Linked DNA regions of Schizosaccharomyces pombe. The protein of the gene in region 1 interacts with the protein of each later gene in a pairwise test. Each region holds a gene or a part of one and is shown on either strand. Other genes may lie near its edges. The genes, in order: spt16 and abo2.

Evidence for each region.
Region 2: the proteins of spt16 (region 1) and abo2 interact in a two-hybrid assay, tested with the Schizosaccharomyces pombe proteins (one large-scale study listed by BioGRID).

What each region holds. Positions count from the first base shown.
Region 1 is NC_003423.3:3,669,749-3,675,426, reverse strand, and holds spt16 (histone H2A-H2B chaperone, FACT complex subunit Spt16), read right to left. Parts: upstream 4,148-5,678; 5' UTR 3,969-4,147; coding exon 909-3,968; 3' UTR 805-908; downstream 1-804. Other genes in the region: RNA methyltransferase Nop2, read left to right, coding at 1-676.
Region 2 is NC_003423.3:1,437,814-1,444,668, forward strand, and holds abo2 (ATPase histone chaperone), read right to left. Parts: upstream 4,909-6,855; 5' UTR 4,760-4,908; coding exon 1,154-4,759; 3' UTR 1,022-1,153; downstream 1-1,021. Other genes in the region: SPOM_SPBP22H7.04 (uncharacterized protein), read left to right, coding at 254-1,021; nrk1 (nicotinamide riboside kinase), read left to right, coding at 6,752-6,783, 6,838-6,855. UniProt on the Schizosaccharomyces pombe protein: Probable ATPase which may play a role in nucleosome organization.

The DNA.
Region 1 (5,678 bases):
TCATCGTTTAGGTGTACGTAATGCTATTGTATGTAATTACGATGGCCGCAAGTTTCCCAACGAAGTAATTGGCGGTTTTGACCGTGTTCTCCTTGACGCCCCATGTTCGGGTACTGGTGTTATATATAAAGATCAGTCTGTTAAAACTAACAAATCTGAAAGGGATTTTGATACTCTTAGCCATTTACAAAGGCAATTGCTTCTAAGCGCTATTGATTCTGTCAATGCTGACAGCAAAACCGGTGGTTTTATCGTGTATTCTACTTGCAGTATTACTGTTGACGAAGATGAAGCAGTTATTCAATATGCTTTAAAGAAGCGCCCTAATGTTAAGCTAGTGTCCACTGGACTTGAATTTGGACGTGAAGGGTTTACCCGTTTTCGTGAAAAAAGATTTCATCCAAGTCTAAAGTTAACTAGACGTTATTATCCTCATGTTCACAATATAGACGGTTTTTTCGTTGCCAAACTGAAAAAGATTTCTGATAAAATCCCTACTGTAAATGTGGCTGATGATATGAAGGATGGAACAAATAATGATGTTGAAATTGAAAAGAATTCTACTGAAATTGATAATATTACTTTCAATGATGAAGCCGATAAGGAGATTATCGAGCAGAATCGTCGCAAATGGTTGAAGTCTAAAGGTTATAAGGTTGCAAAAAAAAAGGATTAGAATAATTTTGGTTAGGTTGGGATTACACAATAAAAGGTAACTGAACATTGATTCGCGTGTTACTACAACAATTATATTAATAGGTTGTCGTAAAGAGCCGGTCTTTATATTTTTGTATCAATCCATCTGGTTGTCAAATCTCAATTCAGTGGAATATTTTATTATAAAGTATTCTGGAATTTTTAGAATAAACTACATATAAATAATAAGAAAGTGAAGTAAATTTGTGAGTTTACCGGTGTCTCTTTTTAGATGGTCTTTCTTCAAAAGCATCGTGCTTAGCATCTTCTTGACGTGCTTTACGCTCCAATTCATCCCAATCTTCACCACTTTCTTCATCCTCCACTTCGCTTTCACTGTAACCATCCTCTTCACTAGCATCTTCGCTGTACTCCTCAGATTCTTCTTCCTCTTCATCAGAAGGGTCGGCATCAGAAGCTTCATACTCAGAAACCTCTTCGACACTATCATCTCCTTCATCATCACTCGGAGCTCCCAAAAATCCCCATCCTCCTTCTTCAAAGAATGCAATGGGGTCCTCGTTGACAGTTTTCATAATCGTGGTCCAGTTCAAATTAAGAGGACCTTCATAGAAGCATATATCGCATGAATCGAGCCATTCCTTTACATTATCTAATTGCTCCATTGGAATTGTATTGATATGAATCGGAGGGCGGCGGAAGTCTTGAAAGATGAAAACCAAATCAAAATTTTTTAAACCAAATTGTACACGCTCCAAGTGTGCAATTTCAATTTCGTTTAGTGTAATTACAGTAAATGGTGTGTCTGTCAATTGAACTAGGCAATCAGTAGTCGGCTGCAATAAAACATTGGAACGGAAGGGAACACCATTGAATGCAAGTTCGCGAAATGGAATGTCTAATTCAATTCGTCCCTCACTTGCTTCAGCGATTTTTTCAGCAAATGATTTAAATTCGCGATCTAATTGAGCACGACGCCGTCTTTCTTCTTGTTCTTGCTCCAATTCATCTTCATCACCATACATGTATTTCCGCTTCTTGTTTCCAGTTTCGTCAAACTGAATATCAGAAACTTCGCGATAAAATTGCACGTCCTGGGTCTTCCTTTTTCCCACCATGATCGGAGCTTTCAGATGAACATGAATAAGAACGATAAGCTCGCCTTCACATGGCTGGAAAAAGAGATGCTTCATATTAGAAAACAAAAGATCAATGTGGCTATCTGAACGTAATGGCGATTGATACCGAATACCATTTTGGTGTATCTCAATGAATCCAGGCAACCGTTTCCCGTCAATAGCAGGGCGAACGTAAACATCATTTATATGAGCAGGTCTCTTGTTCTTTATTTCAATTAATTTATCTTGCTCAATAACATCAGCAAACTCCTTACGTTCAGTTTCACGCTTGGTAGCTGCTTTCTTCATATCTTGGATGTCCTTGAATACTTGCGACATTCTAGAATTATTTGAACTTCTGAAAGTAAAGCTTCGTATGAATTGGGCATTAGGGTCCTCAAACGGTAACTCATCCTTTTTACCGCCAATCTGGCCAGGACTTACGAAATTTAGTCGTAAATACACAAAATTTCCCTCATCGTTTTTACTAGCATTTTTTAAAGTAGATATATGGAACGGGACAGGCCGACCGAAAATGGGTAAAATAATACTTTGAGCTCGATAATCTACTAGAATACGTAACTCACCAATTGCTTGTGGAAGTTGCGAGTCACGCTTGTACGACTCAAATCGTTTGACAGTGGGTTTTTCGATGCCGCTAGACGGAACAGAACCTTGAGCAAATCGTTGCAATCCCTCAGCCTGTTTTCGCGATGCTAGTTGCTTTTGATGCTCAACACGCCTCTTTTCAGCAGAATCATCCAAGTCTCTGGTTTCACTTCGAGTCTTTCCTTTATGACTTGATATAGTTGCCGTTCCCCGAGTAGGTGGTTTGCGTGGCTTTACGCCGTCTTCAAGAGAAGAATCATCTTCACCAAAGAAGTAGGATATATCACCTTGAGCTTTTGGAGAATCAGTAAATACGATTGGATCACTTCTTGTTATTTGAATTGTGTCAATCAATAAAAGAGCATACTCTTTAGACTGAGAATTTTTAGGATGAGGATTAATCAAATTCCCAAATCCAATGCTAAGATTTAGAGTCATCCCGGCTTGAAGAACGCGTGGGTTTTTGGCATTTACTAAAAGTGAAGATTCGCGAAATTCAATGCCAATGCCGGCACCTAGATTTCTTACAAAATTAGGTTCGAGATCAGGACGTTTAGCACGTATAAGACCCAAAATTTTCGTATATATGTCCCCAATAACAGCGCCATCTCTGCAGTATTCGAACAACTTTTTCTGAAGCGCTACTAAAAAAGAGTAATTTTTCTGTTGTTCGGAATCAGGATCAAATAAATAAGTGCGACCAACATTAGAACAATACGATTTGTAGCGAAACCCTAAAGAGCATAGGACGACGTCCCCATGAAGATTTCTATCATCTGTTATAGCAGAAGGCTTCAAATCATAACTACCCCCCGATTGAATAATGGGAGTATAACACCACTCTAGTTGATCCAAGTCTATGTCTCCTAGTTTCAAAGATTTTGTTTGAAAAAAAGCCTCGTTATCAATAAGGCTTTCCATCTGATCCGAAAACTTAGAGTGAGTTATTTTTTTTCCTTGGTCAATATAAGTCGAAAGTTCATCAACAAAATATTTACTCATAACCGCAACACTAACCCGCGATGCTCCTTTTATATTAGCAAGTTCTTGTTCGTCCTTTATAGCAAGACACTTTGCTAAGCCAAGCGATGCATCCACAAGATTAAATTCTGATTTCACTGGTTCAAAAATTGAGTCCCATTCATTAATGAATTTTCCTTGTGTTTTATCCTTAGGAAATACTCCGACCTTTTTATTGGTGGCTCTAATATACTCTATTATTTTTTCAAAAAGCTTTTTATTTTCCTCAGCATCTTTCGTTCTCTTCAAGATGTTAACGTCAGCTGCAGCCCCCTTGGTTTCAGCCAATTTCGTTAACATATTGGCCTTGTTAACTGATGTAAGGATTGTGATTCGATGCTTTTCAAGAAGTATTAAAGTCGATGGAAATTCATAACCCAAGAGCCATGTATGTAGTGCAGTGGACTTTTGATATGGATTCGTATCATCATGAGCCCCTACTGTTACTAAAATACTGTCGCAGTCTTGAAACAGCGTCTTTCCGTCTTCCTCATTCTTCCAGGAGGTAAGAAGTATGCCCAAGCGTTTATGAAATGTAATTTCGTCTATTTCATATTCAGCCATTTTACCTTTAATTAACGATTTAAGATATATTCACTCTTTAGCGAATAGTTATTTTATCTGAAAGGGCAAAAAGGCTTTTTCTTACAAAATTTCTTAAAATTTTGTAAAAAAGAAACAGGAATTGTTTTATTTTTTTTTTATTGATTGATAGCTTTTTTTGATATCTTGTGGATGGAGGTGGGTAAGTGGTAGTACTTTTGAATGTAGATATATAGGGCTGGGATTTCTGCGACGCGACTCGACTTACGCTGCATGTGTTCTAGCTTGATTATTTGAGCTTGTTAATGTTTATAATAGACCACAAGCATCATAAAAAAATAAAATTTATTTATTTATTTTTTGGTTCTTCAAGAGCAGGATGAATATCACGCTTTGCTGTATATAATCGTAAACGGTTGGACAAGCTTTATAATTTTTGGAGCACGAATACTATACATACATGTCTGAATACGTCTACGTACATATATGAGCTGTAGTAATTTAAAAAATCATTTACCTACGTCAAGCAATCCAAAGACAATAGATATTACTTAATGCTTTAGTTATTGAAAAGTGGCACAAATTCTGGAGCACTCAGCTTTAAACGGATTAAATTGATTTGCTTGGTAAAATGAACTGAGTAGAACAAATTATAAAACTACAACGCAAAACTAGTAAGCCATTTATAAAGATCATTTTTACCCGGTATACCTTTGCTTTAGATGAAACTAATTTTGAAATGCACCATTAAAAATAAGGTATATTAAGTGGTTTGTAACCCTTTTACGCGACTAACCAGTTAAATACCAATTTTATCTTAAAAGTATATACGGTATTATCCCCATGAAATTTTTAAAATGTTTTGTATAGCTGACGAACATCGTATTGAAGTGTTTTTGGCTTAAAGACAAAATTTAGTTTACTAAATCTTCAACCGTTACTGGTGGTAGTTTTAATTATACATGGCTAAATGGATCAGCAACTTTATTGTTAATTTAAATAATCCATAAGGAGCGATATCTTAAGCTTCGGAACAAATAATAGCAAGAAATACGTTTCATATCTGGTTATCATGATATTTTTGTCTTTCCAACCAGTGAAGTCAATAAAAATATAAGTTCTTGGGTCAACACGGAGTAACAAAATATACAAATATCTTAAATATAACTTTGTTGTAAGCCTTATTGGTGATATAGGGTATGGCTTAAAATTCAAAAAACGAATTTACAATTTATTAGAATTTGTTCAATATTTTTTATGAAACTTACCACGAAATACTGGATATAGTAATAATATATAGTAAATGCAAAATATGCGCTGCTATTAAAATCAATTTCTAGTGCTGATCCAGGTAATGCCACATTTCATGAAGAAAACAAAAAAACGAATATCCAGATCCTTATATCATGGATCTCATCCATTTTATGTAGGCAGAAAAACGAACTACTACTACGAAAAATGGGGTTCGGTTATATGAGTCCGTGAAAAAACGGCGCTTACATACACACGAACACTCATGCATATATAAAGAGTATGTTTACAAAACAAATAAAACGTTTTTTGTATCACAAAACCTCAAATTGGGTCTACTTGAGTTAATATCGTCTTTTTTGCGGTATATTTGTTCTCAATCCCTTTTCTTTCTGAGAATCCTTTGCATACCAAATTCGCTATTTGCTGAGGAAAATTTAACACATAAATTCTGCTTTATAACTATATTTAGGACCATTT
Region 2 (6,855 bases), 2.2 Mb from region 1:
TTTTTTCAGCATTTTCCATGCTGCTGCCTTCATCGTGGTTGAGTGCGTTATTTTTTTAAATATTCTCATTGGGATTCTCTATTTGGTAATATCAAACGGACAATAATCCACTAAGTATTATTCGAATGCGTAAAACATTTGCTAAAATGTTTACACGTATTTACATTCAATTCTTCACCCTTGAATTTACACGGGTAATTTAATTAATTAAAGGGTTAAGCTGATCAATTGAACATTTTCATGTTGCGAAGTTATGAGTATGCTAATCTTTAATATACGTGTTGCTAGGCATAAGGCGTTGTTGTCTCGAATTGTTTCAACAAATATGTTCAATCCTATGTTTAGGTCATTGCGTCCAATTCAGAAGTCTTTCTCGGAAATATCAATATTGAGAGTGTTTAATAAGCCGCCCATCAAAAAATTCCATAACTCTAACATACTGAAAGATATTACCTCAAAACGGAATGCAACCCCAGCGAAAATTGCTTGGCAAGCAATGACAACTCGGGAGCCTTTTCTTGTATATCAAGCAAAAGCAGATAAGAAAATCAGTCTTATTTATTTATTAACTGTCGGGATGCTTATAAATGTCTGTGTGATTACTTCTTTTGCCAGTGTTGACATATATCGCGCAAAAGATGAGATATTTGCCAATTGGGTCGATATGGATTATTACGAGAAATTATCTTATATTGGATCTGCTTTTATTACTCCTGCTCTTTACTTTACTTTAACGTTGATTTTATTTTTACCAAGACGAAATATTTATTCAATTTCTACCTTACCATCCCAACGGTTTGAAATTGTAACTGGATTTTTATCACCATTTAACAAGCTTTATTTTTCTAAATCATTAATTGTTCCAAGAAAAGACGTATCAATCGTTACTTACTCCCTACAGAAAAACCCAATCACTCTGAAAATTCGCGATCGTCCATTTTACTATCTTTTAAATGCAAATGGAAAATATGCTGGTAATTCAAAGGACGTACTATTCTGTGTCATCGGAAACCGATATTAGCTTTTCAATTTCAAATGTATCTTCTTTCGTGGTTCCTATCTTTTATTGTGAGCTTTCATTCATTACCAACTATCATTTAGATTTGTTGTATCTCACTAACAGATCGCTTAGACACATTAACCCAAAATTTCATTAAACACCCATATCCTCAAGCGACCGAAAGAAAGTTTGTCTTACATCCCGAACTATCTTAAGAAGATCATGCTCCTCACGATTTTCCCAAATAGTGGATGACAATTTGGAATAAACAAAATCTAGTAGTTCCACCTTATTAAAATTGGTATGTTCAGCAAATTCCTCTGCACATTTTGCCAAGGTTTTTTGAATATTTACGTTATCGTATTTTTTGTTCTCTTCTTTGTGTTCAACACCAGTCCTGCTAGGTGGAGTGACAGCAATCAAATTGTTATGAGTAAGTGATTGTCCATGAAATAAAGTATGTTTATGTTCATCATTAGAAACGTTGCGAACCTCATTTGACGAAAGCTCAATGAAATTGTCTTCTTGTGCAACATCGTTTCTCACAAATGTTTCTTCATTCTTTGATTCTTGCATCTCATGAGCATCCTTTGCATTGTTCAGTTTTTTTTGTTTTAGTTGTTTATATGCCTTTTCCCTCTTGGAGACTTGACAACAATCATACAACAGCTTTGCATCAATCAACTCATCAACATTTAATTCGGCATGCGCAAACATTTCTTTGGCTTTGTGTTTGAGGTTCACGTCGCCAGACAGGATCGCATCTTGTTTGATCATTTTGATATCACGCAAAAACTCTTTAGGAGTACAGTAACGTCCACTCCATAAGCGTCTTTCAATTTCCTCAAAGTTCATCATTTTGAAACAAGCATTGTCTTTTTTACGAGTGACTGTATTTCCTGAAAGGAAATACTCAAAATTATCCTTCGATTTTCCTTTTACCACCCTTTCGTTCGACTCATCAATGTAAATGTCATTTAAATCTATTATCGGTTTTTTGAACTTTTTATAACGAGAGCGAAGCATTTCAAGTATTGAGCTAAGTTTAACCTGAATTTTGTTTTTTATTTTCTTGTCGTTCTTTCTTTGTCTTCGGTTTACTTTGTCGGTTAAATCTGATGTTTTAGAAACTGGTAGTACTTTGGGTAAAATATCAACGCTTGCTGCTTCGGCGCTCTTTTGGTGAATGGGAAGGAATGAAATACGTTTAAGCAAGTAATGGAAAAAAGAGTATCTTGATGAATAATCAGGAAACGACAAGTCATGATATTCGCTTCGATGAGAAGGAAACCAGGAGCGGACGGTAGACGACAATTTTTCTTGATTAGTATTAGCAAACCCCAGTAACATGACAGGTTCTAAAGGGGAAATTGAATCTAATAAAAGAAGGAACATTGACAAAAAGCTATGTGAAAATAGAGATGGCCATTTTTCTACGTTATTGATAAATATAATACTTGGCGCATTTTTTCGGGCTTCAGAGAATATCTTGGTTAACAAAGACCTCGGAGATGTGGTTGTGTCCATTAACAACTCAGAAATATCCAAAGACTGCACGTGGATACCATCTAACATAGAGAAAAGCACTTTGCTTAAATAAGTACATCCATATCCATAAATATCAGTAATCAATAGTCTTGGGCGGAATGACATGGTAGTTTTTAGAGAGTTAATTTCTTTTTGCCTCATCAACTCTTCAGCAGGAAGTTTTTGTAAAGACTCGACCGTTGGTAAATATACGTCAAGTTTTAATAGTCGTCTAATTTTTGACGTTATAACCTCAATACTTTTCTTAAACAGAATTTTGTGGGAATCCGTAATAGGTATATTCGGCTTAACATCACTTCTTCGTGTAGAAACAGCAATCTTCTCAGATGCGACTACAAAATCGCAAATGCTAACGGATATTTCATTCAGGTCAATTAAAAATTTGTCAGAAGATGTGTAAATTTGGGGGAAGGTGCGTCGAACTGCATTAAGGGCTGCTTCGGTGCATAAAGCTTTTAAATCTGCTCCACCATAACCAGACGTAGATTCCGCTAAGTGTAATAAGTAGCTCTCTGGTATTTTTGGAGAAAAATGTAAAGAATTGATTTCAAGAATTTTCATACGTGCTTGCTTATTTGGTAGAGGGAAGTAGAATTCGCGATCAAATCTACCGGGTCTCCTTAAGGCCGGGTCAAGATCGTTGGGACGATTAGTAGCACCAATTACTACTACTTGTCCACGCGTATCGAGGCCATCCATTAAAGCAAGCAAGGTGGAGACAATGGAACTGTGAGTTTGCTCTTGTTTTGAAGATCGAATAGGAGCAAGCCCATCTATTTCATCAAAGAATATGATGCTGGGTTGTACTCTTCTAGCTTCTTCGAATAAAAGCCTAAGTTGCCTTTCTGCTTCGCCAACCCATTTGCTTAAACAATCAGACCCTTTTCTCAAGAAGAAACTAATTTTTTGATTTTTGGTCGAGCAGTTAGCGGCCAACACCCTAGCCATTAGTGTTTTTCCAGTCCCTGGAGGACCATGAAACAAGACACCTCTAGGAGGTGTGATGTGCAGATGTAAGAATACTTCTGGATATAACAAAGGAAGCATCACCATTTCTTTCAGTTGAAGTATAATATCTTCCAGTCCTCCTATGGAATTGAAATCAAGATTTTCCCTATTGGCAAAAGGGTCAGTACTTCTAATCGTCTTTTCGTCTATGTGACCAAAGTGAAGTTGAGAGGAGGGAGCATTCTCAATATCTGAACTAGCGCCCAAATTATTGTAAGCATTAAGTCCTTCAACGTCGGAAGTTTGCTCTGAACTTGTACTGCTCAACTCACTCGTTTCATCACTATCGCAAGTACTTTGATAACCGATGGGAAGAGTAGCAAAATCTTTCATAGGCAATTTTGGCGGATTATAAGTAATCTTCGTTGTTGAAGGATTTGGGGAAGATGCAATTTCGTTGTAATAGTCAAATAAATGATAATTCGGTCGATTGTCACGACTACGAAGTTTGCGTCGGAAATCTGGTGAATTTCGCTCAGCGCGAAGAGGACTCATTGCCTTCTTGACCCTTAAATTTTTTTTAACTGGCAAAATTGGACCTCTCATTTTTCTTTTTCTACGTCCTCTTCTACTTGGAATGGGTGAGCGCACTTTTGTCAAATCATCAGGGCTATCCGCGAAGTCAGAATCACTGGCGTTCGAAGACTCAGGATCACTTTGTCCATCTACGTAGTCTTCATCTAAATAATCACCATTTGTTGATTCTGTTGGAGCTTTTGGATACGAAAAGGTTTTTGAAGAAGTAAGATATGATTTCGGACTTATCAAATCGTCTTCTTCATCCTTAAAGGTAGTGGATTCGTCCTCATTATTATCAGTGTCTAGCTCTTTATCATTTCCTTCCATTTGAAGGTTACTACTTCCATTTCTGATACCATCAATTTGATGTTCAGTACTCTTCTTTCCCAATGATGCATCATTGAATGCCGCAGAAGGCTTTGAAGGATTTTCTATAGAAACAGAAAAAGAAGGCGTTTCTGTGTTTAGATGTTTCTGTAACGAAGAGAATTTTCTATTTCTTTGAGTTTCACGCACTGAAACTAACTTTTGTTTATAGGAGGAAGGATCAAAATGTGAAACTTTTATATGATTTGAATGATCCTCTGATTTTTCGCTGTGTGCGTTGGAGTAATAATCATCATCTTCTTCATTATCTTCATTATCGTCAGAACTAAAACGAATGGATCTGGCCCTTCTGCGCATTGCACGCAAAATGCACTGCTGGCACCAACAAATTAAGACGTTGTCAACTTGGTTAAGACAATTTGTTATGTAGATTTTTTATTTACAATTGCACAATTAAAGGCTCCAAAAAATTTGGGATATCTTAGGTTTTCCACATGCTGGTTTACGAATGGAAGGTTTGTAAGGAAAAGTAAATAAATGAAGTTCGTAACAATGCGTTATAAGAAAAGGAAAGCACATAGTAGAGTAAGTGGATTTTTGGACTAAACAACAGAAGTAGTATCTTTACAAAAACAATATTGTTTAAAAATTGACTTTTCTGAGATTATTTGTCCACGATCAGTTTAGTACATTGGTAATATCCATACATTGATGCATTGTTTACAGACATGTGGATAGATTTGAAATTCTATGAGGATAAAAGTTCATTGCCAACTTCGAATCTTGAGCTTCACTTGACGTTCCTCACTGATATAGTATTTTTTTTTATTTAATTGATTGTCAGTGTTTCGTCGTTTCGCTGTTAATTGAAAGGATGAGAAGAATTTATGCAAAGAGTATTATTTTATAATCTCTTTGAAAACTTACTATTCATAATCCGTAGTTTTACGTCTCATATTAGATTGATATAATGAACAAAGGTAGAGATCGGTACGGCTTTTTTTATTTTTTTATTAAACCAAAAGGTCTTTTAATTTCCTAATTACATTGGCATTCAATACAGATCCATTGAAATTCGATCAATATTGATTTCATTTTTAAAATAGTGTCCTTAAATTTCCTTAATGTTTGAATTCAGTATTTATTATTATTACTAATTCTATTGTTTCATCCAATTTACATGCAATTTATAGCTTTATTATATTTTATTTATTTTTTTATTTTTTTTTTGGAAAAGCAATTGAAGCTAGTCAAATTGGAAAACTGAAGCCAAACACCTAGTGTTAAAAAATTTTATATTTACTAAGTGTAGTACTACAAAAATCGTTTAACAAGGCCTCAAGAAACTCAACCAATATACATATATTTTTTAAATTCATCGAAATATTCGCATTTCATGGAGTTGATAAAAACTTTGCTACCGTAGAACTAAGTAAGTGTAATGTAAACAATAAGCAAAAGACATTAAAACGACTTAAAAAATGAAAATAGCAAACTAATATTATTCAGACATAGTTTATCACAAATTTGAAAGGAAAAAGCAATAATTAATAAAATAATTTTCGCAAAACAATTAAAGAATTCCAATTTCCTACATACTTTGGCTAAATAAATAAAAAAAGTGAACCACTTTTTTTTATCTAATCAAAAAATATATATATTTTAAACAAAAATTGTATTTTTTACTCTTATTATCTACCCTATCTTTTCGTAAAGGATACATGACGGGAGCGGATTAGTATATTGCTATCATCCAAAGCCTTGTATTATTGACTGATTATACTACTAACCATATCTTCATACTACCAACTCCAGCCTTCCTCCTATTTCACTCTTGTTTTAAACGATCAATAACTCAAAACACCATTAATCTTTACCGGGCATATTTGCCATATAAAAATTCTTATACGTATTCGAAAGCGTTAATATTTGGTGAATTTAAATTATCTTTCAAATCCTCCATTTATACCGTAAAGAATTTGTATACTCCTTTCTTTTTCCATTTTCTTATACTTGCGAAATCGTTATAAGTGATCTTTTACTTGTTCTTGTATATCTAAAAGTTTTGTTGGTTGTTATAAAATTTTGTGGATTCGGCTTCTTTACCACATATCTTTTTAAAATTCTCGTTTATTTCCATAACAAATAATCATCGAGCTTGATTTAAGATACTAGGCGCTTTGTTTAAATCCAAATTCTTTTTAAAATTCGGTTAACCTGTCTTACAGCTTTTGGCTGGTAATTAATTAATTGTGTTGTGCAAATATAACAGACCGAATTCCAGTATCCAGCTTCTGTCCAGGCTTCTTGTCTCAATTTTTACCTTCATTTTTCCATATTATCATTAGAATGACTCGGAAAACTATCATTGTTGGGGTTAGGTAAGTTCTACAGGCAATTGTTTTAATGAATTTTTATTAACAAGAAAAAATTAGTGGTGCCTCTTGTAGTGG